2 linked regions of the Nothobranchius furzeri genome follow. The protein of the gene in region 2 interacts with the protein of the main gene of each other region in a pairwise test. Links are inferred from orthologs where the notes say so. Each region holds a gene or a part of one and is shown on either strand. Other genes may lie near its edges.

Region 1 (3,926 bases), on a different chromosome or scaffold from region 2:
TCCCACTAGCGTGCTCATCTAAAAATAGCCCCCTTTCACAACCAACTGAATGTGTACGGTTCCGCTTACGCCAACATCGTACACAAAACTTGCTGAACACTAACTAGAAATTCACGAAAATTTTATAGAAATAAAAGAATCTTGTTTATTGGGTCTTTGGTAATTTAAGACCTTTGGAAACTGTATTTAAGGATTATTTGTCATTTTTAAGGATTTTTAAGGCCTTAAGTTTGAAAAAGCAAATTTAAGACTTTTTAAGGACCCGCGGATACCCTTTCCTGGTCACTCGCTTGTCCAACAACACTTAAAACTATTGAAAACATTTATAAAAGAAGTTTAAAATTACTTGACAAAAAACCGACTTCCCACCACCATTGTCATGTGTTAAAAAAACATAAATGACAACTTCAATAACTTAATGAAACTTAAAAGAGTCTGTTTAACACTCCCTTGCTCCACCACCACTAAAGCAGTTCATTAGGCATAAAGAAAGCTCAAACAGGACCACACGAGCAACAATTCGAGGAGAATTGTTTATACCACATAGACGGACAGCTTTTGGGCAGAACGTCCTCTCTGTCAAGGGTGGCCGTCTGTGGAACAGTCTTCCTCAACCCGTTAGAGAATGCTCGACTTTCAGTTTGTGTAAGGCAAAGATTAAAAACTGGTTATGGACAAATCAAGTGTGTGATCATGTATGAGTTGTATAGTTTTAATGTTTTATTTGTGAATAGAATGGTGTGTATGTGTAAGTTTGGTGATGGAGTTTTTATTATGAATGAATGATGAATTTTTATGAATTATTATGTCTTTTTCTGTCTGAGGACAACAGATGGAACTTAGCCTTTGGCTATAATCTGGCATGTTTACATTCACGTACGCTGCTTTTACATTGATGTTCATTAACATGCACTGTCCTAAATAAATAAAATAAAATGTAAGAAGAAGAAGAAGGAGGAGGAGGTTCTATGAGCATCCAGGTGTCTGAAGCTGACGGACTACAGGAAGGTATGAGGAATGACAAGTTTATCCGTTCCAACTTATCCTGGAAACCCGGATCCAAACAGGAGGAATGTTATTCTCCTACGGGTCTGGAGCAGCACAACCAGAAGAAAGGATGAGACTAGATGATTCTGAGTGAAGAAGACGTTATGTTTGTCTCCATCGTCATCATCAGCAAAACAAAAAGAACCAATGAGGTCTAGTCAGGTTCGGTGTTCATGCCTGTTTGTAAAACCACAACAAGCAGATGGTTTGTTTAGAGAAAAGGAATAGAAGGTCCAGTCTGGATGAAGGAGGGATGATGGAAGGAGGACGAGATGCACTAATGAACGGAGAGCTTTAAAAACAAGAAAAGGTGAAAGGGGTGGAGAGATGAGAGGATGAAGATAAAACAAGCAGCTTGAAGAATTTAATGTTTAGAAACGGGAGGATGAGAGGAAAAAATGAGCAGGATGACGATAATTAAGAGTTGGATGGAAGCAGATGAGAGGGATAGAGTTTATTAATATTCTGCAAATGACCACAAGATGAAATGATGCTACGGAGGGGTGGAGGGTAAACAAGAAGAGGATGAAGGCGATGGAGGGATGAACAAATGCATGAATAAAAGGGACAGAAAGAGGATTGGTTGGAAAGAAGATCATAATGGTGTGACGATGGAGGGATGAGTCTTGGAGTAGAGGGGGTGATGAACAATAGAGGTATGGATGAACGATGAATGAATGAAGGAGGGATGCATGAAAAGAGCCATAATAAGGATGGAGGGATGCAGGACGGGTTGTGGAGGAGGATGGAGATGATCAGAGCCTGTTGTCTGAGGGATGGAGGGAATTCCCTGTTGCTCACAGCAGCAGCCAATCAGCTGATGAAGTGTTACATAACATCACTTTAGAGGTTCACCCCGATTGTATCTCCAAATATCGCGAGAAAAAACACGAAGTCCAAATATTTCATCTCTTCAACCAATTAGACTCGAAATGTCCAAAACCAGCCAAAATAAATCAGTAAAACCAAAAATATCAACGTGAAGTATCACAAAAAACAGCCTGGAGCTGAGAATTCACCAAACAGTCCAAATAAAAACGACCCGGTAACATTTTCAGACGTGTTGGTGCTAACGAAGCACAGAAAACACGATGTTTATCCTCAGAGAAGCTCCGATTTACATGCATTTATTCACTCTCCCCGCATGTTTTGTTTTTGTTCAAAACAACCACAAACAAAGAGCAAAGGGGCAACAGCTGAAGCCCCGGGTCTCACCTGGGTGGCTTTATGGAACTGCTTCTTCAAGCCCGCGACAGACATCTCCTCTCCGGTGAAAAACAACCAACACGCTTCGGATAAACAGCTGGTTTAATCTGGACCGAACCGGAGTCCTGGAGCCGGCCGACCCTCCCGTTTACGGCGGACAGAGTCCGTTTATCGGTGTGGAAGAGGAGAGGAAAAGAGCGGAACCAGACCCAGCTGGACGCGTCCTCGGAGCGGAGAGAAAAGAGCTGCACGCAGATCCTCCAACTGGCAGATGGCTCACGCGGGCGGGAGTCATGGCAACGGGAACAGAAAGTACAGAAACCTGAAAATTGTATTTATGAAGGATCAGAAACATGATCAGCTGTGTACGGAAGCCTGCTGTGTTCACCTAAAAGTAAAAAATCTTTTTTATTTTTCCCTGAATTAACTACAAGTTTATTTACCACAAAATATAATTTTAAGTAGAGTGCTTTATTATTTTCTGTCATTGTAGAGTACTGAGATGAATTTTATTTAATTATTTACTATAGTTTTATTTCTAGTTGATTATGTGTTATTAATGGCTTTGCGTGTTTTATATGATTATATTTAGCACAGTTTTATTATTTAATAATATTATAATTTTTATTTATTATTTATTTTCTTACTTTTGTCATTTTTATTAGCTCTTTTATTTTCATATTTTTACTCATTTTAATCCTGTGTTTTCTCTGTAGGGGCCCTCTGCCCCGGGGCGGTGGTCGACTGTTGCTTCGTGAGCGCTCTACAGGTAAAGCTGAGGTGGAGGTGGGGGTCTGTGCTCCCCCTCCTCTGAGCGCCCTTTTAGTGTGGAAAACCTGTTACTGATGATGACTGATGGCGTTTCCTTGCCTTACCTTACTTGGCTCATCTGGACTCAGCCAAATATGAATTTTTACTGATGTGTGTGTGTGTGTGTGTGTGTGTGTGTGTGTGTGTGTGTGTGTGTGTGTGTGTGTGTGTGTGCCTGTTAATGTTTTTAAACTGGAAATTTGGGGTCATTTTTATTCTGTAAAGCACTTTGAGTCGCACTTTGCTTGAAAAGCACTTTATAAATAAAATCTGATTGATTGATGACACCTTCCAGCTCTTCCTCTGATGTTCCAAGGTGTTCCCACCAGACCACAGATATCTCATATAAAACTTTGTTAGCTGTAATTTTCTCCTTTTACATTTAAAAATGACAGACTATGTTTACTCTTTTTTTCTCAAAAGTATTTATTCAGTCTTTAAAATCTATCTTTGATTTAGAGCCTCCATCTTTCCCTCACACACGATCTTCCGCAGGGCGGGAACTGGCTGCGTTCTTCTGTCACGTGGTCTCTCCACCCTCCAGCATCCACGAGCAACCCCACGCGCGACGCGTTCGTGTCTGCCGCTGCTTTTATACACAAACAAACAAACAAACACAAAAACCCAGATCTATGTGGTCACGTGACCGAAGGTTACGCCTTCACGTGCAGAAAAAAGCTTTAAAATATCAGGAGAGAAGACGTTTGAGGTTTCAGCACCACGGACAGCGCATCAGGGGTCCGATGGGACGTTCACGAGTAGCTGGGAATTGTCACGAGATTTTATACAACAGTGTTATCTTAATCACTGGAGGAAATTCTTTATTTATGTTTGAATTTCTGTACATTTATGTTTTCTGCATA
Region 2 (3,826 bases):
GGAAGAGGAGCGGAGTCCAAAGGCAGGAAACTGACGTTGGCAGGTTTCCAGAGCACTGACAGAGTCCAAACTAAATCTGCAGCTGTTCACGTCTTCCTGACATATTTGATGGATATCTTTGATCGGGAAAAGGTCTCACCTGTATGTTTTTGTTTCTTTTTAGCTAAAGTTTAAATGCACCTGTAAAAGTAAATGGTTTTATAATTCTGTGCAGCAGATGTTCGGTCTCACCGGAGCACTCAAAGCCGTTGCCTCTGAAGCCAGACTTGCACCTGCACTTGTAGGATCCCTGAGTGTTCAGACAAACGGCGTGGTGGCTGCACTTGTGGGTTCCAGCTGCACACTCATCCACATCTGTAAAACAACCCTATTGGTAACTACAGAAGACAAAGTTGTATGTTTCACCTTGAAAACCTTGTAGACTTCACCTTGACAGTCGTATTTGCCGTTTAGATATTTCAGATCGTAGCCGTCTTGGCACTTGCAGTAGTAGCTGCCGAAGGTGTTCACACATTTTCTGTTGTATGGGCAGAGGTTCTTCCCAGTTATGCATTCATCAATATCTGAAATGAAGCAAACCGTGGCCGAAAAGTTAGTTATTTACCTGTAAACTTATACACTCAGTAATTTGTCTACTGTGAGTTTCAGTATTTCACGTTGGCAGAATGAGAAGAAATATGATATACAATAAAATCAGAAACAATTTATTGTCCTTTAAAACGTGCACTAGAGACACAGAGTGGTGTTTTTGTCATTTCTGTACATTAGTTTTGTTGTAACTCACATTTTCCTGGAGACATGTAGCACATTGTGCACAGCAGTACCCCTGAACTAAAGCATAAACACAATTTTAATGACCACCTTAAACATTTCATCAGAGAAAGCAGAAGTCCTACTTAATATTTGATATTCACGGACACGTTTCATTCTTTTTGTTAAAACCTATCAATAAATGACTTTATTATTATAAAAAAATTGTTTTTGTTGTTTTCATATTTTATGCCTAATGTGAGTTTAACCAGCCCTGTGATGGACTGGCTCTCTGTCCAGGGTGTATCCCGCCTACTTGCCCATTGACTGCTGGAGATAGGCACCAGCCCCCCCCCCCCCCCCCCCGCGACCCTGCGTGGACGAAGCGGGTTCAGAAGATGGATGGATGGTGAGTTTAACCAGGCCCACTATATACCCTCATATATAACTGATTTGGTGTAAATCTACACTTCCAAACGCTGCCTGAGATCAGAAGGTCGGATGTTCCTGATGGTTCCAAAAAAAATGCAGAAAACTTGTCCAAACAAAAAGTTTACAATCAAGAGACTTGTGGAGGTTTAATCGGGGACATTTTCTGCACTTGTTCTACAAACGTGTTTTTTCTGAACAAACTGGGATGACCTAACTCAAGCTCACATCTCTGTGATGCTGCAGGAAGACCTGCTGTCTGTGTGCTCCTGGCATTCCAATGAAGTCATCCATCTACAAAATGGAAGCTTTACGATATACTATACCATTCTTTATTTGTATAGCACTTTTAAAACGTGGTTGACCAAAGTGCTTTGCAGCACAAATACAAAATGTTAAATAAAAACAATAAAAGCAAAAAAGAATCAAATGTAAAACTGTCGATAACTGAACTAAACACCAGTGAGTAAAAGTACGTTTCAGACGCAATTTAGTGACAACCAGCAACAGCTGGTCAGCTGACCGAGAGGGGACTTGAGGCAAACTGGAAAAGTAAACAGGTGCCAAATCATTTAATGACTTAAAGGGGTGGTTCACTTGTTTAATCAATACATTTGCAGTGGCCTCTAGTAGGAATGAATGTCAGTCAAACAAACTCTAAAATGTAACGAGGCAGGACTGGAGTGGTATGCTCAAACGTTCTTTTCCTGCAGCGTTTTGCATCCTCGTGATCGTAAACAATTCCTGAAAGACTTTCTTTTCCCCGAGAATAATTATTGATGGGATGTGTATGCAGTATGGTACACTAATTAGTTGTTTAATGTGCATTGTGAGAATCAGTGACCATGCCAAAGAAGGTTTATACAGTATTACTATTATTATGGCTTTGGAGGATGAAAAAGTGCAAGTGGTCCTCGTGGTCTTCTGGACAAGATCTTTATACTCAATGTTTATTTTCTTTAAATGAAATCAGAACTTGAACTCAACATGTGGCCTCAAAGAGTTCTAATGGTGGCTGAAAATTGAAGTAGGCCTGCAGTCATTGTTTATTTTTATTTTTTTCAGTTCGATGCTGAGCAGACACTCTAGATTGAACTAAGATTGAAATTTTCTGTAAACAGTCAGCCTGCATCTGTCTCATTAGGGTTATCTTTTCTCTCTGCAGCACATCTGGACTTCGTTATTTTTTGGTATTTTTGAAACCAAATGTTGATGATGATCTTCTCAGAGGCCGTCGTGAAATATGATCTGTTGATCTAGTGTGTTACTACCCCCCCCCCCCCCCCCCCCCCCCCCCCCACCAATGATGGTTTGGCTCAGCTTGAGCAGTTTTTGCGGCAGGAAATAAAACCTAACAGCATCCGTGACTAACAAGCCTTGGAGGCTAACGCTACAACCTTTTATAGTTCATGTTCGTTCTCGTTTTTTTTTTTTTTTTTTCTTTAAATCAGAGCAGTTTGATCATGATGGTCGGGTTTGTAATTGTGCTTGACACGTTGAGCTCACCTACGCATGTTCTTTCGTCTTGACCCAGTTGGAGACCTGCAGACGGGCAAAGGCAGCGGATTTCCCCTTCCACTTCCTCACAGCCGTACTGACAGTGAGCCAGGGAGCAGGTCCTGGAATCTGCACGCACAAACCTTATTTATTAAACCACTTCTGCTTTTTTATTAGAGTAAAGTGCTGCACAAAAGAGACGTACTGGCACATGACCCATCAGGCATCAACATGTATCCATTGAGGCAGTAGCACATGTAACTTCCGTGGGTGTTCATGCAGCGATGCTCGCAAGGACGAGGCTTCAGGCCGCACTCGTTCAGATCTGGAAATAAACAGAATCACTTCCTTAATTCAAGGCAAGTGTTGGATTAAATACAGTAATGCAAAATAAGATTCTGATCTCCCTCTAACCCTTGTTTCCCTCCTCGCTGATCCCTTTCACCCACCTTGATTACACGTCTTTCCGGTGTATCCAGGGAAACACTTGCATTTGTTGGGGCCGACACACTCACCGTGCTTGCAGCCGTGCTCGCACTGAGCTGGTAAAACATTCAACATGAAGAAAAGTACCACCAGAATTATTAGTGGTGGAGACTGATGGACCACATTCAAACCACACATTTCTATTATTCAGGCATTTCCTCCAAATCTGGGAAACCTGATGAAAAACATAAGAACGTGCCGGGTTTCCAGACAGAACCTTCAGATTTGTCTCTGTAACTATTTTCAATAGGTCAAAAAGTCTTTTAGAAGATAAAAGCGTGGGGAAAAAAAAACAGTAAATTAGGTCATTTCTTACCCTCACACTGCCCTTTATTGTTTTTCTTCCAGCCATAGCAGCACTCCAGTCTCCTCCCGTAGCGGCACACACCTTGTTGGTTTCCAGAAAGAACTTGTCGGTAATGTCTATACCAGACAGAAAAATAGGTCCAGTCATTCATTTTACTTATTATTCTCTCTTTTTAGAGGATTGATCATGCAATTAAAAACTGGATTTATATAAAATAAGAAAACTCATTCTCATTTACAACAATGATCTGGCCAACAGGCAGCAGCAACCGACACAAATTATTAGCTTTACATCAAAGAAAAACAGATAAGATAAAAAGGAACAAGATCAAATGAGATAAAGCAGTTAGACAAAAAG

Evidence for each region.
Region 1: the proteins of egfl6 (region 2) and endophilin-A1 interact in a two-hybrid assay, tested with the Homo sapiens proteins (2 studies listed by BioGRID and IntAct). The link is inferred for Nothobranchius furzeri from reciprocal best matches to the Homo sapiens genes EGFL6 and SH3GL2.

What each region holds. Positions count from the first base shown.
Region 1 is NC_091742.1:89,754,715-89,758,640, forward strand, and holds the start of endophilin-A1, read right to left. Parts: upstream 2,542-3,926; 5' UTR 2,308-2,541; coding exon 2,263-2,307; intron 1-2,262. UniProt on the Homo sapiens protein: Implicated in synaptic vesicle endocytosis. May recruit other proteins to membranes with high curvature. Required for BDNF-dependent dendrite outgrowth.
Region 2 is NC_091754.1:23,199,278-23,203,103, reverse strand, and holds part of egfl6 (epidermal growth factor-like protein 6), read right to left. Parts: intron 3,586-3,826; coding exon 3,479-3,585; intron 3,219-3,478; coding exon 3,126-3,218; intron 3,002-3,125; coding exon 2,882-3,001; intron 2,806-2,881; coding exon 2,686-2,805; intron 564-2,685; coding exon 429-563; intron 355-428; coding exon 232-354; intron 1-231.